Linked DNA regions of Caenorhabditis elegans. The protein of the gene in region 2 interacts with the protein of the main gene of each other region in a pairwise test. Each region holds a gene or a part of one and is shown on either strand. Other genes may lie near its edges.

Evidence for each region. The genes of interacting proteins can lie anywhere in the genome.
Region 1: the proteins of emb-1 (region 2) and Y57A10A.24 interact in a two-hybrid assay, tested with the Caenorhabditis elegans proteins (one large-scale study listed by BioGRID).

What each region holds. Positions count from the first base shown.
Region 1 is NC_003280.10:12,239,879-12,249,598, reverse strand, and holds Y57A10A.24 (EB domain-containing protein), read right to left. Parts: upstream 6,654-9,720; 5' UTR 6,605-6,653; coding exon 6,342-6,604; intron 5,634-6,341; coding exon 5,514-5,633; intron 5,410-5,513; coding exon 5,224-5,409; intron 4,659-5,223; coding exon 4,524-4,658; intron 4,324-4,523; coding exon 4,117-4,323; intron 3,458-4,116; coding exon 3,348-3,457; intron 3,288-3,347; coding exon 3,173-3,287; intron 2,684-3,172; coding exon 2,339-2,683; intron 2,146-2,338; coding exon 2,064-2,145; 3' UTR 1,970-2,063; downstream 1-1,969. Other genes in the region: tag-276 (uncharacterized protein), read left to right, coding at 521-916, 1,197-1,277; txdc-12.1 (Thioredoxin domain-containing protein), read right to left, coding at 7,627-7,979, 9,004-9,211.
Region 2 is NC_003281.10:5,169,603-5,175,369, forward strand, and holds emb-1 (Anaphase-promoting complex subunit emb-1), read left to right. Parts: upstream 1-3,836; 5' UTR 3,837-3,843; coding exon 3,844-3,975; intron 3,976-4,044; coding exon 4,045-4,158; 3' UTR 4,159-4,207; downstream 4,208-5,767. Other genes in the region: ulp-1 (Sentrin-specific protease), read right to left, coding at 1-49, 98-137; prp-19 (Pre-mRNA-processing factor 19), read right to left, coding at 754-957, 1,007-1,389, 1,453-2,191, 2,288-2,440; K10D2.5 (uncharacterized protein), read left to right, coding at 3,188-3,313, 3,358-3,450, 3,497-3,634; cid-1 (4Fe-4S ferredoxin-type domain-containing protein), read left to right, coding at 4,390-4,471, 4,769-5,226, 5,347-5,509, 5,560-5,767. UniProt on the Caenorhabditis elegans protein: Probable component of the anaphase promoting complex/cyclosome (APC/C), a cell cycle-regulated E3 ubiquitin ligase that controls progression through mitosis and the G1 phase of the cell cycle.

The DNA.
Region 1 (9,720 bases), on a different chromosome or scaffold from region 2:
TCATATACACTAATGGTGAATATATTACCCATTGAATCTCGTTCGCTTTGAATAAATACTCTCTCCAAAAAAAATTCAAAAAGTTGCAAAGACATTTTGACCAACCTAATAATTTATGCAAATTCCAAATTTTCTAAATACTCCTTCTTTAAACATTCCGTTAGAATTAAAGTATCCAATTAAAATTTCTGAAAATTCCAATATTTTTAAAAACTAAAATCTGAAATCCCCTAAATTTTGACAACTTTTTTCCATGTTCCTCAGGGAGAACCCTCCCTTATTTCTCAAACAAAAATGTACGTATGTACCAAATTTATATATTCACAATCGTAAACCAATCAATAACCATTGTTTCCTTCTGCTTTCCCATTGCCACGTTGCATAGCCCATTCCCCCCCGCCCATATATCGATTTTTTGTTGTTGCCAAATTGCAGCGTCCTACAGGGTTAGGTCTAGGTTAGTGTCATTCTTAACCACATATCTCAGTTCTTCTCTCACCTTTTATTTAACTCATTCTAAATGCCATCTCACACCAAGCCGGTCTCCAATGCTGCTCTCCCAAGAGTCCCAGCTCCACTGAGCCCTGCTCAACAAGTCAGAAAATACACTGACTACTTGCTCAAAGAGCACAACCGGTACTATGCACTGGAGTGTCTTCTCTTCCTCGACTGCCCGATTCGAGTATTCCGGGAATGCCGTACCGAGCAAATTGTCAAGAGCCAGTATGATGGACGGTATGAGTACCAGTACCCAGTCAACTTGTTGCTCCAGAAGCTTCGTCGTCTCGCTGCTCAGGAGTTGGAGCAGGATGTTGTGGAGCAAAAGATGCGGGAGGCTTCGAAGAACAAGGTGCTCTTCGCCAATGTGCTCAATATTTTTGCGGATTTGCAAAAGGAAGCGGAAAATTTCTCCAAGGTTAGTTTTTGTTGTTATTTTAAAATTTTGCTGAGAACTTTTTAATTTTCTGAAAACGAACTCAATTTTTAAAATAATAAAATAATTTTCGATTATTTTTGTACTTAAAATACCTACATATTAAGTTAAATTGCAATTTAAAAAAATTTCAAAATAAAAAATCTACACCGATTTTGCGCCGTAAATTTGGCCTGAAAAATAAAAATAAAATTTCGCACCAAATTAAATTTAAAAAAAAATTTCTAAACCTGACCAAACCACCTAAACTAATACTTTCCAGACTACAAAACAATCATCCACGTCACCATCAAGCTCCTCTTCATCCGAAGAATCGTCGGCTTCTTCCTCCCCAGTCGTATAATTTTACCAAACTTATTATATTCGTTGCCAATTTTTCATAATCTGTCATTATTTTCTTGTGTTTTCAACTAATTTTCCCTCATTTTTATTATCCAGTTTTTCAAAAAAACTAATCCCGATTGCAATGTTTCTTGTCAATTAAAACTGTACATCACAGATAAAACTTCAATTCAGTTTACTTATGTTTGCAAAAATATTCAGGCTTTAGGTTTTTAAGCTTTCAGGCTTGGACCGTTGAGCCCAGACTTGGATGCTAACATTTGAATTTAGATTTTCAGAATTATGGCTTTTGCTTAGGCGTAGGCTTGGGCTTAGGCATAAGCTTGGCGTCAGCTCTGAAAAAACATAGTCTGAAAATGCTCTCATTATCTACACACTCCAATTTTTCAGTGTTAAATAAATAAAAATTTGACTCCTAACTTTTTACATTTTTATAGTTTTATTAAAGAACTTGTTATTGTGAATCGAATGCGTTATGAATTATTGCAAAATCTTTGTTTGGCTTTATAGAGCAGTCTGAAAATGCTCTCATTATCCTAGGCCTAGGCTTAGGCTTAGGCTTAGTCTTAGACTTGGGCATAGGCTTAGGCTTAGGCTTAGGTGTAGTCTTAGGTGTAGGCTTAGGCTTAGGGTTAGGCTTAGGCTTAGGCTTAGTTTTCCAAGTTTTTGTATTAGGCTGTTTTTAAATTAAACTGTTTGAAAACATGTTCATTAGCTAAAAAAATATTTAAAAAATATAGAATTGGCACAAATATTCGAAAAAAAAAACAAAAATCAATAATTAAGCCTAATAGACCACAGGCTTCCGAATACAACATAGATAACTGTCGGTAGTGGAAGATGGTAGACACGTGTAGCCGAGTGGGCAGCTGGAATTATTTTAAAATATCGATTTTTGAACGTTAAACGTTTTCAACAATATATGTATGTTAGAATTTTTTTAATTCCGATTTAAAAAAAAATTTTAAAAAATTGGATAAAGATAATAAGATAATACTGATTTTTAGAGTTTCAAAAAACAATCGAAAAAAATTTTTTATTTTTTATTTTTCTGGAACTCACTCCAACGTAAACAGTGATAGACAACGCTGCACATCTTGATTAACATTTTTCGACGGCATATATGAAAATGGGCATGTCGGCTGCGCAATCACTTCTTCCTCTTCAATCGGCTTCTCAGTAGTTGTAGTAGTTGATGACGTCATAAACGTAAATGGCCCAATCATTGGAATCTGTGGTGGAAGGATTCGGTTCATTTGAATAGTACAACACACATAGACATCATCAATATCAGATTCTTGACACGAATATCCTGATCGAAGAATACACGGATCTCCGATATGATCACAAATGTATGGGAAGCCGTTTTCCATGAGTGGACGGGCTTCAGGGTCTTGGCAGTTTGGACTGTAATAAATATTAAGATATGATTAAGATACCTTTGATGGTTTAAAAGTAAAGTAACGCCAGTGGGGATTGTGTCTAAATACACTTAAAATTATTTCAAATGACCAAATATCATTAACAAACAGTCCAAAAATTTTTAGATTTTTCATTATTCCCGGTCAGTTTTGGAAAATTGCAAACATTTTGAAAAATATGAGCCTTTGAGGAAATCCAAAGCAATTTCGCATGTTCCAACCCCTACAATTTTTTAATACAAATAATTAAAAAAAAATTACAGTATAAAAAATGTAGAAAAAAATTTTTTTTTGGTTGACTTCCAAAATTATGAGTGGCAAAAACTGAGTAATTGTCACTTTTTGATAATAAATAAAAAAATTTCAAAAATTTTTTGAAATTTTTTAAAATGATATTCGATCATTTTGACACCAATGGAGTAGTTTTAAACACTTTCCCCTCTGGCGCTACTTTGCCTTTAATTAAGCAACCTACACAGATTCAAAAGGGTATGGTTCTGCAGTAGTTGTGGCTATGGTTATGGGAGCCTTCATAGTAGTTGTAGTGTAGTAGAATGGAGGGGGTAGAAGGGTTTTACGGCTGTTGCCGACTGAAATTTTTTTTTTTCTTGAATTTTAGTTTTTATAGGTTTAAGCAATAAAATACTCACGTCGATTTTTATACCGCTTACAGCAAATATGGGCGGTCTTCTCCTTGTTCAGCTCACAAAATGCTCCTTGTGAGCACGCCGGAAAAGCTGGGTCACATTTTTCACCGGTTCTGGAATAAGAATCAATACTGGGATTTTTTTGTAATTGAGTCATAAGCATTTCTACAGTAATCTAGACAATCAAGTACATTTGAAATTTTAAAAAAACTCGAGGAAATAAAATTTTTGGAAGTTTTTTTTGCTCTAAATGACATAAAATAGTTTCAATATACCGAATGTAACTGTAGAAAAATTCAATAGAAGCACCTAATAAAAAAATTTCGAATTTGTTAAAATGATTTTTCAATTATTCAACAATTTAAAAAACGGCCGAAATATATGGTTTGCGCGGGAATTCAAATTTAATTCGGCCGTTTCTTAGATTTTTTAAAAATTGACGAAAAATCATTTTAAAAAATTAGAAAATTTATTTAAAAATTTTCCAGATATATTTGGTCATTACGGCTCCATTTTCTGGCATTTGAATAGTTTTTAGTGTTATAAATCAAATATTTTTGCAAAATTGAAAAAAAATCGTTAAAAATTTAGAAAAATTTAGAGAAATTCCATAAATTTTTCTACAGTTATACTCGGTATATTAAGGCTATTTTCTGGATGATAAACACTGAATTAAATTTTTTGATAATTTTTGACAAACGGAAACTGAGCTACAGTACCCCAACAGTACACTATACAGTATACAGTACTACAGTACAATGTAGTAACTTACCCATTCTCCCCATTCCTACAAACCATCTCAATTCTTGAACCGAATGATTCCTCGGATGGACAACACCACATCTCATTCTGAATTTCCATGCACTTTTCATTTCTCAAACATCCGGCTGCGCACACACTTCTCGCAAACACTCCTGACGGGCATTGGGCTAACGAACAACATACACGAAGACCCGTCGGGGTTAGCGAACATTCGTAGCTGGAAATTTGAAATTTGCGGTGCAATTTTAGTTTAGAAGTTCTGAAAATGTTTAAAAATTTTTGTGAAATTTCAACTTTAATTTTCAAAAAATCAAAAAATTGATTCCAAGTTTTAGATGTTTTTCGGAAAGTTTCGAGCAAAAAAAATTAGCTCCTGGCTATTTTAAGAGCATGGCTTGAGCTGTAAAATTCACTTACCCCATCCCACATGGCTTCTTGTTACAGTCCCTCGGCACCAATCCATTCATCAAAATTTGACTTCCAACACCACAAATATCGTCAGAACTTTGACAGCATACCTCTACGTTACTGGTGCGGAATTTTGCGCAAACTCTGAAAATATAGAATTTGAAAAAAAAATTTTCGAATTTAATTTTTTTAAATTAGTTGAAATGTTAAATTTAAAGCATCATACATACAATTTTGCCAATTTTTTTCACAAAATTTTCGGCAAAAAAGCTTTTGTGGTGGGACCCAAAAATTCGAAATATTATTTAACGTTTGATTTAAAAATTTTTTTCATATTATGATATTTTGTTTGAATTCGGGGTACCCCGAAATAAATCTGAATTTTTACTTTTTTTCTATAACAGTTTCCAGGAAAATATCGGTTCTGAAACTTATCGTGGTGGGACCCAAAATGTTCAAATGTTAAAAAAATTTAATTTGTGATACAAACAGTTTTATGCTTTTGTTCAAATTTACAAAATCAAAATCTTCAATATTATGTGAACTTTCTGAAAAATCTAAAAAAATTTGAAATGTTCAAAAATAATTTTTTTGGGCACTAAAAATTTTTCTCCAGTTTTTTGGTGCAAAAATTGTAAATTTCGAGTTTAGGTAACATTTTCGTTTAAAAATAAATTTTTTAATTTTTAAAACGCAGTCCAAAACTAACCCCTGAACACAATCCTTGCACAAAACCAGAGATTTCCCATCATGTGCAATAATTGGATGGGATTTCGGACAGATTTGGGAGGAGTCTAGTGACGTCATCAGTGATGACGTGGATTTTTGCATCGGCTTTTCCTTTGGGAACGGTGCAGATTTGGAGAGTTTTAATTGTGATGTTATCGGGAAACTTCTGTAAAAATATGGATTTATTTTATTTGTAGTTATAGTTTTTATTTTAGAATGGTCTTCTTCTCCCAGAAAACCAAGAAGTGGGCGGAGCTTAAAATCACCAACTTTTCAATGCTCCTGTTTGAGCAGCATATCGACATTCCATCCTGACTACTTGATACACAAAATGATCCATCTGGGCAGTTATTCTTACGTTTTGGAAGACATGGAAAGCCGGTAGACATCCTGAAGTTTGAGTTCAAATATTTTTGGCGCGAAATTCAAAATTTCAGATTTTTAGCAACTTTGGCGCGACTTTCAGTTTTTGAATCTTTAAAATAGTTGGGGCAAGCTTCAAGTTTTAATTTTTTTGATATAATTTTTTTTTTTGATAATTTTGACAGAAATTTTAAAATTTCAATTTTCGCCAAATTTAGATATTTCAAAAATATCAACAAAAATAATTGGCGCCCAATTTAAATATTAAAAGAAATTTCAAAAAATGGTGCTAAATTTAATTTTTTAGAAATTGCAAAAAAAATTTAGCGCCAATTTTAAATATTAAAAAAATTTCAGAACAATTTTTGCGCCAATTTTAAATAATTCAAAAATATCAACAAAAAAAGTTGGCGCCAAATTTAAATATTTAAAAACTTGCAAAACAAATTTGGCGCCAATTTTAAATATTTAAAAAAAATTTTAAAAAGTGGCGCCAGATTTAAATATTTTAAAAATTTTAAAACATTGTGACGTCAAATTAAATTATTTAAAAATTGCAAAACAATTTTGGCGCCAAACTTAAATATTCCAAAAACTTCAAAAAAAATTGGCGCCAATTTTAAATATTTGAAAACATTTAAAAACAATTTGGCGGTAAAATAAAATTATTTGTTTTCAAAAAACAATATATAATCTGCGAAGTTTAACACAAAATTCAAAAAAAAATTTCCTCACCTATAAGCCGGATGCCTGCACTGCGGTGGCGGTACACAACATATACCCCTATGACAAAATGCTCCAAGAGGACATAAGCTTGCACACGTCTTCACGTGCTCCGTATCCGTTAGTGGAAGCTGTCCAACAGGGCAAAGATCCTTCAGATACTGATAAGGAGAAGCTAGGGCTTCAGAATTGGCAGAGGTGATAAGATTTATTAGAAAAATCCAAAGAAATTGGGAATTTAGAACTAAATTTCGAAATTCAAACTGCGAATTCATATTGCTGGTAGAGAAATGACCCGACGATGTATAAGAGGAAAATAATTCGGAACATTGGAGAAGAGACGTGACATATTCTGAATATGAGGATGTTTACATAACTACTCAAATATAGGGAAGGAGAGAAAGTTTCTTAATCCCTTAGGAAACTGGTTTTGATTAATCCTTCCATGTAGGCGCCAAAAGGCCTGGTGTGCCTACCTTGCGGCGACCTTCACCTGCCTCGGGCCTTCTGTATAGTGCGGAACCCGAAAAGTGTCGGCCGCGGCGGAAGGCAGGCGGGCAGACAGGCGTCAGGCCCTGAAACCGCGCCTGCCTCCCATGAAAGCCTTGATTTAGATTTGAACCAATATGTGGGCGGTGTATTTTAAATCTCCTATTTTGTGGCAAAATTCAAATTTTTTTTGAATTTTTTTAAATTAAACAATTATCGAGAGCAAAATTCAAAAATTCATGAAATTATAAATTTTTTCAAACAAAAAAAATTTTGTTCAGATTTAAACTTCAAAAAGCTTTTCAGATTTTCTAAAATCACCGAAAAAAGCCTGAGCCTAAACCAAAGCCTAAGCCTACGTCTAAGCGTAGGCCTGAGCCTAAGCCTGAGACTAAGCCTAAGCCTAGACCTAAGCCTATGCCTAAGTCAATTTCAAATGAATGCAAAATTCAAAAATTTCAAAAAATTAGTTTTTTCAAAAAATTAGTTTTCAAAAGTTTTTTGGCTGGAATTTCAAACTTTCCTGAATTTTTCAAAATGTCACAGATTTTCCTAAAACTTTTTTTTTTTCTAAAAAATTGGCTAAAAATTTTCAGGCACAAAATGCAATTTTCATAAGATTTTTAAAATTTTTTCGAGGTTTCGAAAAGGTTTTTGGCGCGAATTTAAATTTTTCGTAAAAACCGACGTATCGAGAACCAGTTTATTCGTGATAATAATTAATAATAGTTAACAAGATTGGCAAAGAAATGATAAGAAATAAATTAGCTGAAAATCAATCAATAAATCAATAAAACAATCTCTATTCTTACAATTCCTTCTTCTTTCCCTCTGGCTTCTTTGGCTTAAGCTTATCACCTCTCTTAGCCTCTGGAATGTCAACTCCAAAATGTTTAAGCACATCCTTCATAGAGTTAAGGATATCAGCTGGTGATGAGTAGTAATACGCGTAATTTTTGTATTCGGCCTTCTTATTTTTGAATTCTTGAAGAAGATCTCCATTTTTGTCGAGGAAAAGCAGACGTGGAATGTACTTTCCGTCTGGACGGTACTCCTCCTCGAATGGCTCGTCGTCGTCTTCGGTGTTAACCATTACAAAGTGCTCTGAGAGCTTTTTGAAGGCTTTCTTGGCGTTGGATTGTTGGAAGGTCTTCTTGAGAGCTGGAAAATTTGAAAATTCGAAATTGAAACATTTAAAAATTAGGCTTAGACGTAAGCTACAGCTTGGGCTTAGGCTTAGTCGTAGCCTTACACTTAGACTTAGGCTCAAACTTAGGCTTAGGACCCCAATAGATTTTATCCTTTTTTCAGATTAGTGGAATTTGTTTGGAATTTTTATTGAATTTTTGAAAGCTTTAAAATAATTTTTTATATAATTTTTGGAATTTTTAAAAAAATTTTGAGGTTTTTTCTCGCATTGGATTTTCTGGACTTGAAATATTTAAACTTCAAATTTTTTAAAACCAATTTTCAATTTTTTCACAAATTTTTAAACGAATACAATTATGTTTAAAGTTTCAAATGTTGAGTCATAAAAATTATAAATATTATTTTACATCAAATTTAAACTGTGGTTCGCCCACACACGGGTCCCATCACGTGAAAATTTTTGAATTTCCCAAAATTTGTACAAATGTGCATTTTTCTTAATTCAAAATTTTGCACGTTTTTTTTTGCAATTTTCGAAAAATATCAATTGAATTTCCCGATTTTTCCCTTGAAAACTATATGTACAAGCTTTGTGGTTTACAAGGTGTTCTGACACCATTCTTTGAATTAATAAAAAAAAGTGTGTCAAGGATGAATAAATCCCTCTCCTTTCTTGTCTTTGGTCGGTTACCCGGAGAGAAAATCGAAGCTGCAGTGGGGAAGGGACATGTGAATGTGCGCTCTATTGGACTAACTTGTTGAATAAAATGATTAAATTTCAAATTATTAGTGAAGCATGTAATCAATCACGCGGTGTCAGGGTGTCTCACTTCGGCTTGATCTACCTAGATCTACAAAAAATGCGGGAGAAGAGTCGCAGAGTTCTCAAATGATTTCGCATGATTAAGAACCTGCTGACGTCGCATTTTTAGAGCAAAAAATTCCCGCATTTTTTGTAGATCAAACCGTGATGGGACAGTGTGATACCACACGTATTATAAGAAATTGCCTAAATTTTCTCAACTGCCGCTCTTACCTTTGCAAGCATGGCACCAAGACTTGTGGATCAACAAGAAGATTGGCTTATCAGTATCCAAAGCAGTCTCAATTGCATCTTCCCACTTGACCCACGCAATATCGTCACCAAATCCACGTGCCAATGGGTTTTGAATAGAATCCTTGATCTTGTCGAAACTCGCGTACGCCGACGCACTCACAAGTGCCAAGAGGAGAAGGGATCTCATCTGGAACAACGGGGAATTGGATGGAGTTTTATACTAAACAGAAAATATAAGTTTAGCATGCAAAAAAAAGTGATCAGATACTTAAAAAAAACGTTATTAATGTGGTTTATATGTATAATTTAAATATTATTACTGTTGTGAAAAATATCATTTTTACACAACTCAAAATATTCACTACAATTTGTTTAATTGAATGTAAAAAATTTCTGATAATTTTCAAAAAAAAAAATTAAAATAATCCCCCAGCCCCACCTATGCCTAAGCCTAAGCCTAAGACTAATCCTAAGACTAAGCCTAAGACTAAGCCAAAGCCTAAGCCTAAGGCTAAGCCTGAACCCGGGCCTAAAACTAAGGCTAAGGCTAAGCCTAAGCCTAAGACTAAGACTAAGACTAAGCTTGAAAATGAACTGTTGTGACCTTTTTTTTCCAGCGTTTAAAAGCCATTGCTGTTATAAAAACACAACGATTATAAAGTTCTGTTATAAAACATACTACTTGTTGTTTTATAA
Region 2 (5,767 bases):
TTTTCTTCGTTTGTAACAGCTTGATCGGTTAACCAATGTCGTTTTCTTGCTAAATATTTTAATTAATTTCAGCTTATTTTTCATTCACTTCTCCTACATTGAGAGTCTTTGTCTGATAAATCAGACCTACGTGACATTCCGTTTCTCTTTCAATCGAATATCGTCTATTTTTGATGTTCCAGATTCAAGTAGCTATCCTGAAATATAGTTTTTAGCTGCTTTAAAAGATTTTTGCTATAGTAAATACTATCACAAAGGGCAACATTTTAAGTTTTTCAGCCAAAATAAAGAAGGCAATTAACCTCTAGGCAGTACGTAATCATTCAATTATTGCATAAATTACTTTTAATAAAAGAATAGATGAATGGGATAGAAGCGGAGGAGATTGGCTGCAGATCATTTTTGAATGAAATGAATAAAATTTGGGGAATCTGGAGAAAAGTTGAACTGTTAAAAAGATAAATGTGAACAAAATAAAATCCAATAGATAAAAATAGAAAGAGATCTCACCACAGGAAGACAGCCAATCAACTCTTTTTTTTTTGTTGATTCACAGTGAAAAGGAGAATTTTTGGAATCGATAATATATGGTAACGAGAGATGGAGAAAGAATAATAGTTTGTCAGCTTTTCTATAGATGGGAATATTTTCAACTTGACTGAACAATCCGGAATACAAAAAAAACAAGGAAACGAAACGGGAAAAATGTGGTGAAATTTTGAATAACTTAGTAATAAATGGTAATAAAAACAATTAGAAAGAGAATACTCGGAGACTCTTATCCAATGAACACGTCACCAATGAACGAGCATTTTCTCCGAATCTAACTCCAGTGACTGGTCCAGAATGATCAGAAAGTGATACAACTTCACTCCAGCTCTTCACATGCAAAACTTGAACTTTTTGGCCACCAATTCCTAGGAATGTTCCAGTCATGTCGAAGGACAGGGAGTTGATCTGAAAAAATTATATTTTTTCATTAAACATTTGCTTAACAATTTCTTACCGGTTGTTTCTCTTCGTTAGCGAAAGTTTTCAGATTCTTCAATTTTCTAAGATCCCATAATTTGACCTCTCCATCCTCTGATCCCGTAGCCAAATAATATCCGTTTTCAGAAAACGCAATCGAACGAACGGCAGCAGTATGTCCCGGGAATGCAGCAGCCACGGTTTGATTCTTCAAATCCCAAATCTTCACAACGGCATCCGCAGCTCCAGTTCCAAAAATAAGACCATCAGGATGGAACTCGATGGAATGAACGGCAATTTGTGATCCTGGTTCAACTGAAACCTTGCAAAGCGATTTTCCGGAACGAATGTCGGAGAATGCCCAGTAAGAATCATCAGAAGCGGAGAGAATGTAATCACCGGATGCATTGAGGGAGATATCTGTAAAACATTGTTTGTTCAATAGAAGAATTACAGCTAGCGAATTTTTTTCAAATATCTCACCTGTAACGGGTGCCTGATGGACATCAATAATAGCCTTCGAAGACGAATCAGTTGCACTCCAGACTCTAATATGTGAATCAGCAGAAGCAGAGATTGCAGTAATATTATCCGGATGCAAAACAACTGCGTTGATCTTCTTGTTATGCCCCTTGAATGTTTGCATAACCTGTTCCTTTTCATAGTCATACAAGACAACGGTTTTATCAATTCCTCCGGTAAGTGACAAATTTCCCTTGATATCCAATGCAGTAATTCCAGGAGTTCCAGTCGAATGAATTCCAGTGTGAGATGCTGTCTGTTTCAGCTCGGCGAGCTCTTCTGTTTTGGCAAGTCCTTCAGGAAGATTTTTTCCTCGTTGTTTACGTTCAGCAGTCAGACTCTTTGATTTCTCTTCAAGTTTTGCCAGAATTGCCTCACTAAGACCTTGTTGATCTTCAGACTCGTCAATGCTGACATCATCGTCAACTTTCGCCGATGTGTGTGGTTTCAAAGTAGACAATGCTTCTCTAGCAGCGGTCAATTCTTTGGAGAGGCGGGAAATAACACGACAAGCGGCATCGTGTTGGTACAGAGAGTGAGAAAGTTCTTGACGAGCAATTTGGAGTTGTTGTCGGAGAGAGAAGCTGTTGAGCATTACTGTATCCCACTCGTCTTGAAGCATTTTTAGTAGAGATGGGATGGATGTTCCAGAGACATTGCGTGGTGCTGATCCAGTGCCGCCACTTTTCAATGAAACGAGCTAAAAAATGAATTTTAGAAATTATTATTTTGTTTTTTCAATGAATTATCATTTCGAAGTTTCACGTCAGTGAAGATAATTGCAAGGTTGACAAACCTGGTCTTCAGAAAGCTCTCCATGGCTGATCGGATCTGTTCCGTTTTCGGCAATGAATTTAACGATCAGCCGACGATCAAAGATGTGCCCTGAGACTTGAGAGACGACTGGGTCTTCGGTCAGTTCACCACTGATTCCGCACACGAAAGACATCTCCTGAAAGTAGCAAAATATACACGAAACCGCTTGATTGACGTGGGACATAAACGAAGAAAGTTTCAATGCGAATTTTGTAGGATAATTACATTTATCGAACGAGTGGTCAATAAATACGTACTCTGGCTAGTGACTAATCGAACGGCGCATTGGATCAAATGTTTTAAACTTGTCTTTAAAAGAAAATCTAGAATTTTAACCAGTTTTTCATGAAAAAATGCAAGTTTTCAAGTCAAAGGAATTCGAGACACCACGGTTTCAAGATCTGATGGGATCCCGGATCTACGTTTTCCGGATCTACCATTTCCGGATCTACGTTTTCCGGATCTACGTTTTCCGGATCTGGCACCGTGCCAACGCACAAAACGCTTTTCAACGCACGACTTTTTTCGAAATTTTCTTCTAGAAGAAACGCTTAAGAACACGCGACGCGTAACATCGCAGCGTCGTTGTCACTTTTTTCTTCGAAAAAATAGCGTTTTAAGAGTTGGCACGGTGCCAGATCCGGAAAACGTAGATCCGGAAAACGTAGATCCGGATATGGTAGATCCGGAAAACGGAGAATCCCACCAGATCTTGAAACCGTGGTGTCTCAGGAATTCCATGCAATGAGAATTCGAAAAACTGCAGTGGAGCGTACTTGCTGCAGCTTTTCCGGGCGGGGCCGAAGAAATGTCGGCCATGAGACTGGGGAATAAAAACGATTTGAAAAAATAATTTGGATTTGAATTTTCTTCCCAAAAAATGCAAATCGGGGAATATGAGCTCACTTTCATCGATGTTGCGGTGTTTGTGGTGTTTCTCGTGGCTTTGAATAAAATTGTTAAAAGGATGCTTGTTGCAAAAATCAATGAGCCAGCGAAATATGAGGTAATTTGCAAATAAATCTTGGGATGTGAATTTTTGTTTCTCAGATCGAACAGCTCGAAGAGCGTGATATGACAATGGAAGAAATCGAAAGCATGCGCCGCGAGGAGAACAGGTGCCTGGTCATTGTGGAAGACAAAGTAATAAAATACTTTTCGGATTATCAAAAAAATAAGTTTATTTCAGATTTACGACCTCTCTGGCTCACAAGATCTCTATGACAACAACCGCGATCTTTTCGAGAGTAGTGAAGGATGTGGACCTGAATGGGCACCGATTTGTGCTAGGAAATATCCATTCGTCGGACACGTTTTGAAGAATTAATTAAAATCTCAGCGGGAGTTTGATCAAATTTCGGGTTGTTTAAGTTGTGTCAGTTACATCGTGTTTTTTTGTTGTTAAATAAAACGGTTATTTTTTTTCATACATTGCTTTTTACATCTCTTATTATTATAGGCTGAAACAACCTTCATTTTACTTTTGCCCGTTTTTTAGATGACTTTGATTCAAAAAACCACGTTTACAGATCAAGTATGGCTTTGATGTACCCATTCCACGTAGCACAACCTCCACTCAACTGGTCCGAGCACTTGTGGGTTTCCGAAGTCTCACCAGCAAAAGAGTCATTCATCACCACGATTTGTGAGCACCGTCAAGCTCAATGGGTACGTTTTTATTTCAAAATCACACTTTTCTGAAAAAGTACATTGTTGTTCATTCTAAATTTATTGCAGGATAATCAAGATCTTCTGCGTCACTTGCAAGACAGTGTGGCTATTCTGACTCGTGAAGATCAACGTCATGTGAACGCTGTCCATGCAGCAGCAAATATGCCTGCAAATCCTTGAATTCCCTATTCTACACCATATTTATCTGTAAATAAAACTCGATTTGGCATACCATTTTTTTTAATTATGGAATTCATTTCCGAGGTACTGACCTCGTTATTACCTAATTTAATATTTTGTTCTCAAATTATTCCAGATTTTATTCAATCGCTTCTTTTCAGTTTCATTGGGAAAGACGAACCGAATAATAGGTATTAATATTGTACTGTAATTATTAAAAAGAGTTGTGAGATGACCGATGAGCAAAGGTCTGGAAGTAGGCGGAGAGGAGGAGCCCTTGGAGGTGGAAGGGGAGGAAATAGCCAGAATAGTGGTGAGTTCATGACTAATCATTTTTAAAAATTCATACAATGAAGTATATTAGGCCCTTCGTATTGCTTAAAGATTGAGGTTTTACTGTTCTTAGTATTCAAAAATACCGTTGATTCACTCTCTACTATAACTTTTTCCTTATCAATCCTGAAGTTATTGAACAGTTTTAGCAGAAACGCCACTTTTATTTATTTATCAACTTTCTTATCAAACAAAGTGAAAACTTTATAGCAATTTTCGAACAGAGTGTTCTTCATTTTTTCTTAATTTTCATATTGAACTAACATTGAACTTACAGGCCGGAAAAGATCATCAAACAGTCCAGCTGATTCGGCTTCCTCCTCCCAAAAGACGAGCAGAAATCCATCGCAAAATCGTCCTCCAATGAACATCGTTCCTCAAAAAGTCACAATTCTGAAACGAAATCAGGATTCTCAGCCAACATCTCCAATAAATCGGAATGCGCCACCAGGACCCTTGGTTGCCGCTGTACAACCATTGATGGCTGTTGAATTGGGCGATTCGGGAGCTTCATTGAAAGGATGGAATTCAAATCCTACTACTCCAGAGAAAACAACGATTAATGTTGCTGGACGACAAGCAGAAGCCAACAAAAAACAGACGCAAGAGTATTATTTCTCCAAAAATGCCGGGTCAGCCGTGTCGGCTCAAACATTTCAAGAGACTGTCCAGTATCCAATGAGCTCATTTCCGTTGGAAAAGAATGTACCTATTCAAATTGATAACAATTTTACGGTTAGTTGTGAATAAAAAATTAAAATCATTCGCTGTATTCCAATAGAACAAAATTCGTACTTTAAACTTTAAAATAGCAAAAAAATGTATGAAATTAATTTTTAAAAGTCAAGTTTTTAGCTGTTGATTACTCCAACTACGAGCAAGTGCAATGGACTATTCATCAAAGTAAAATTACAACATGGAGATGACAATATCACAACTGGAGCTCTGTTGAAATTGGATGCAGATGAAAAGACGATCAGAAAATCTTGCAGGGAAACTATTGAGAATCTCTTGAAAGGTTTGAACTGAGTTTTCCGATTTCATTTCACTGTTTCTCAACAGTTTCAGCAAAGTCTTCATCCGACAGATTTCCATTCTCAAAGTGTTCTGAGGGATTTCTGACTTCTTGTTTGATCAAGAAACTTGTCGATCGTCTAGAAGCGTTCCCAGAGGCCATATACTATTGCGAAAAGTGCGATTATCATATTAATACAATCGGACACGCAAAAGCACACTTAGAGAGCAGTACACATTTTGATGATGTTAAGCGACAGGA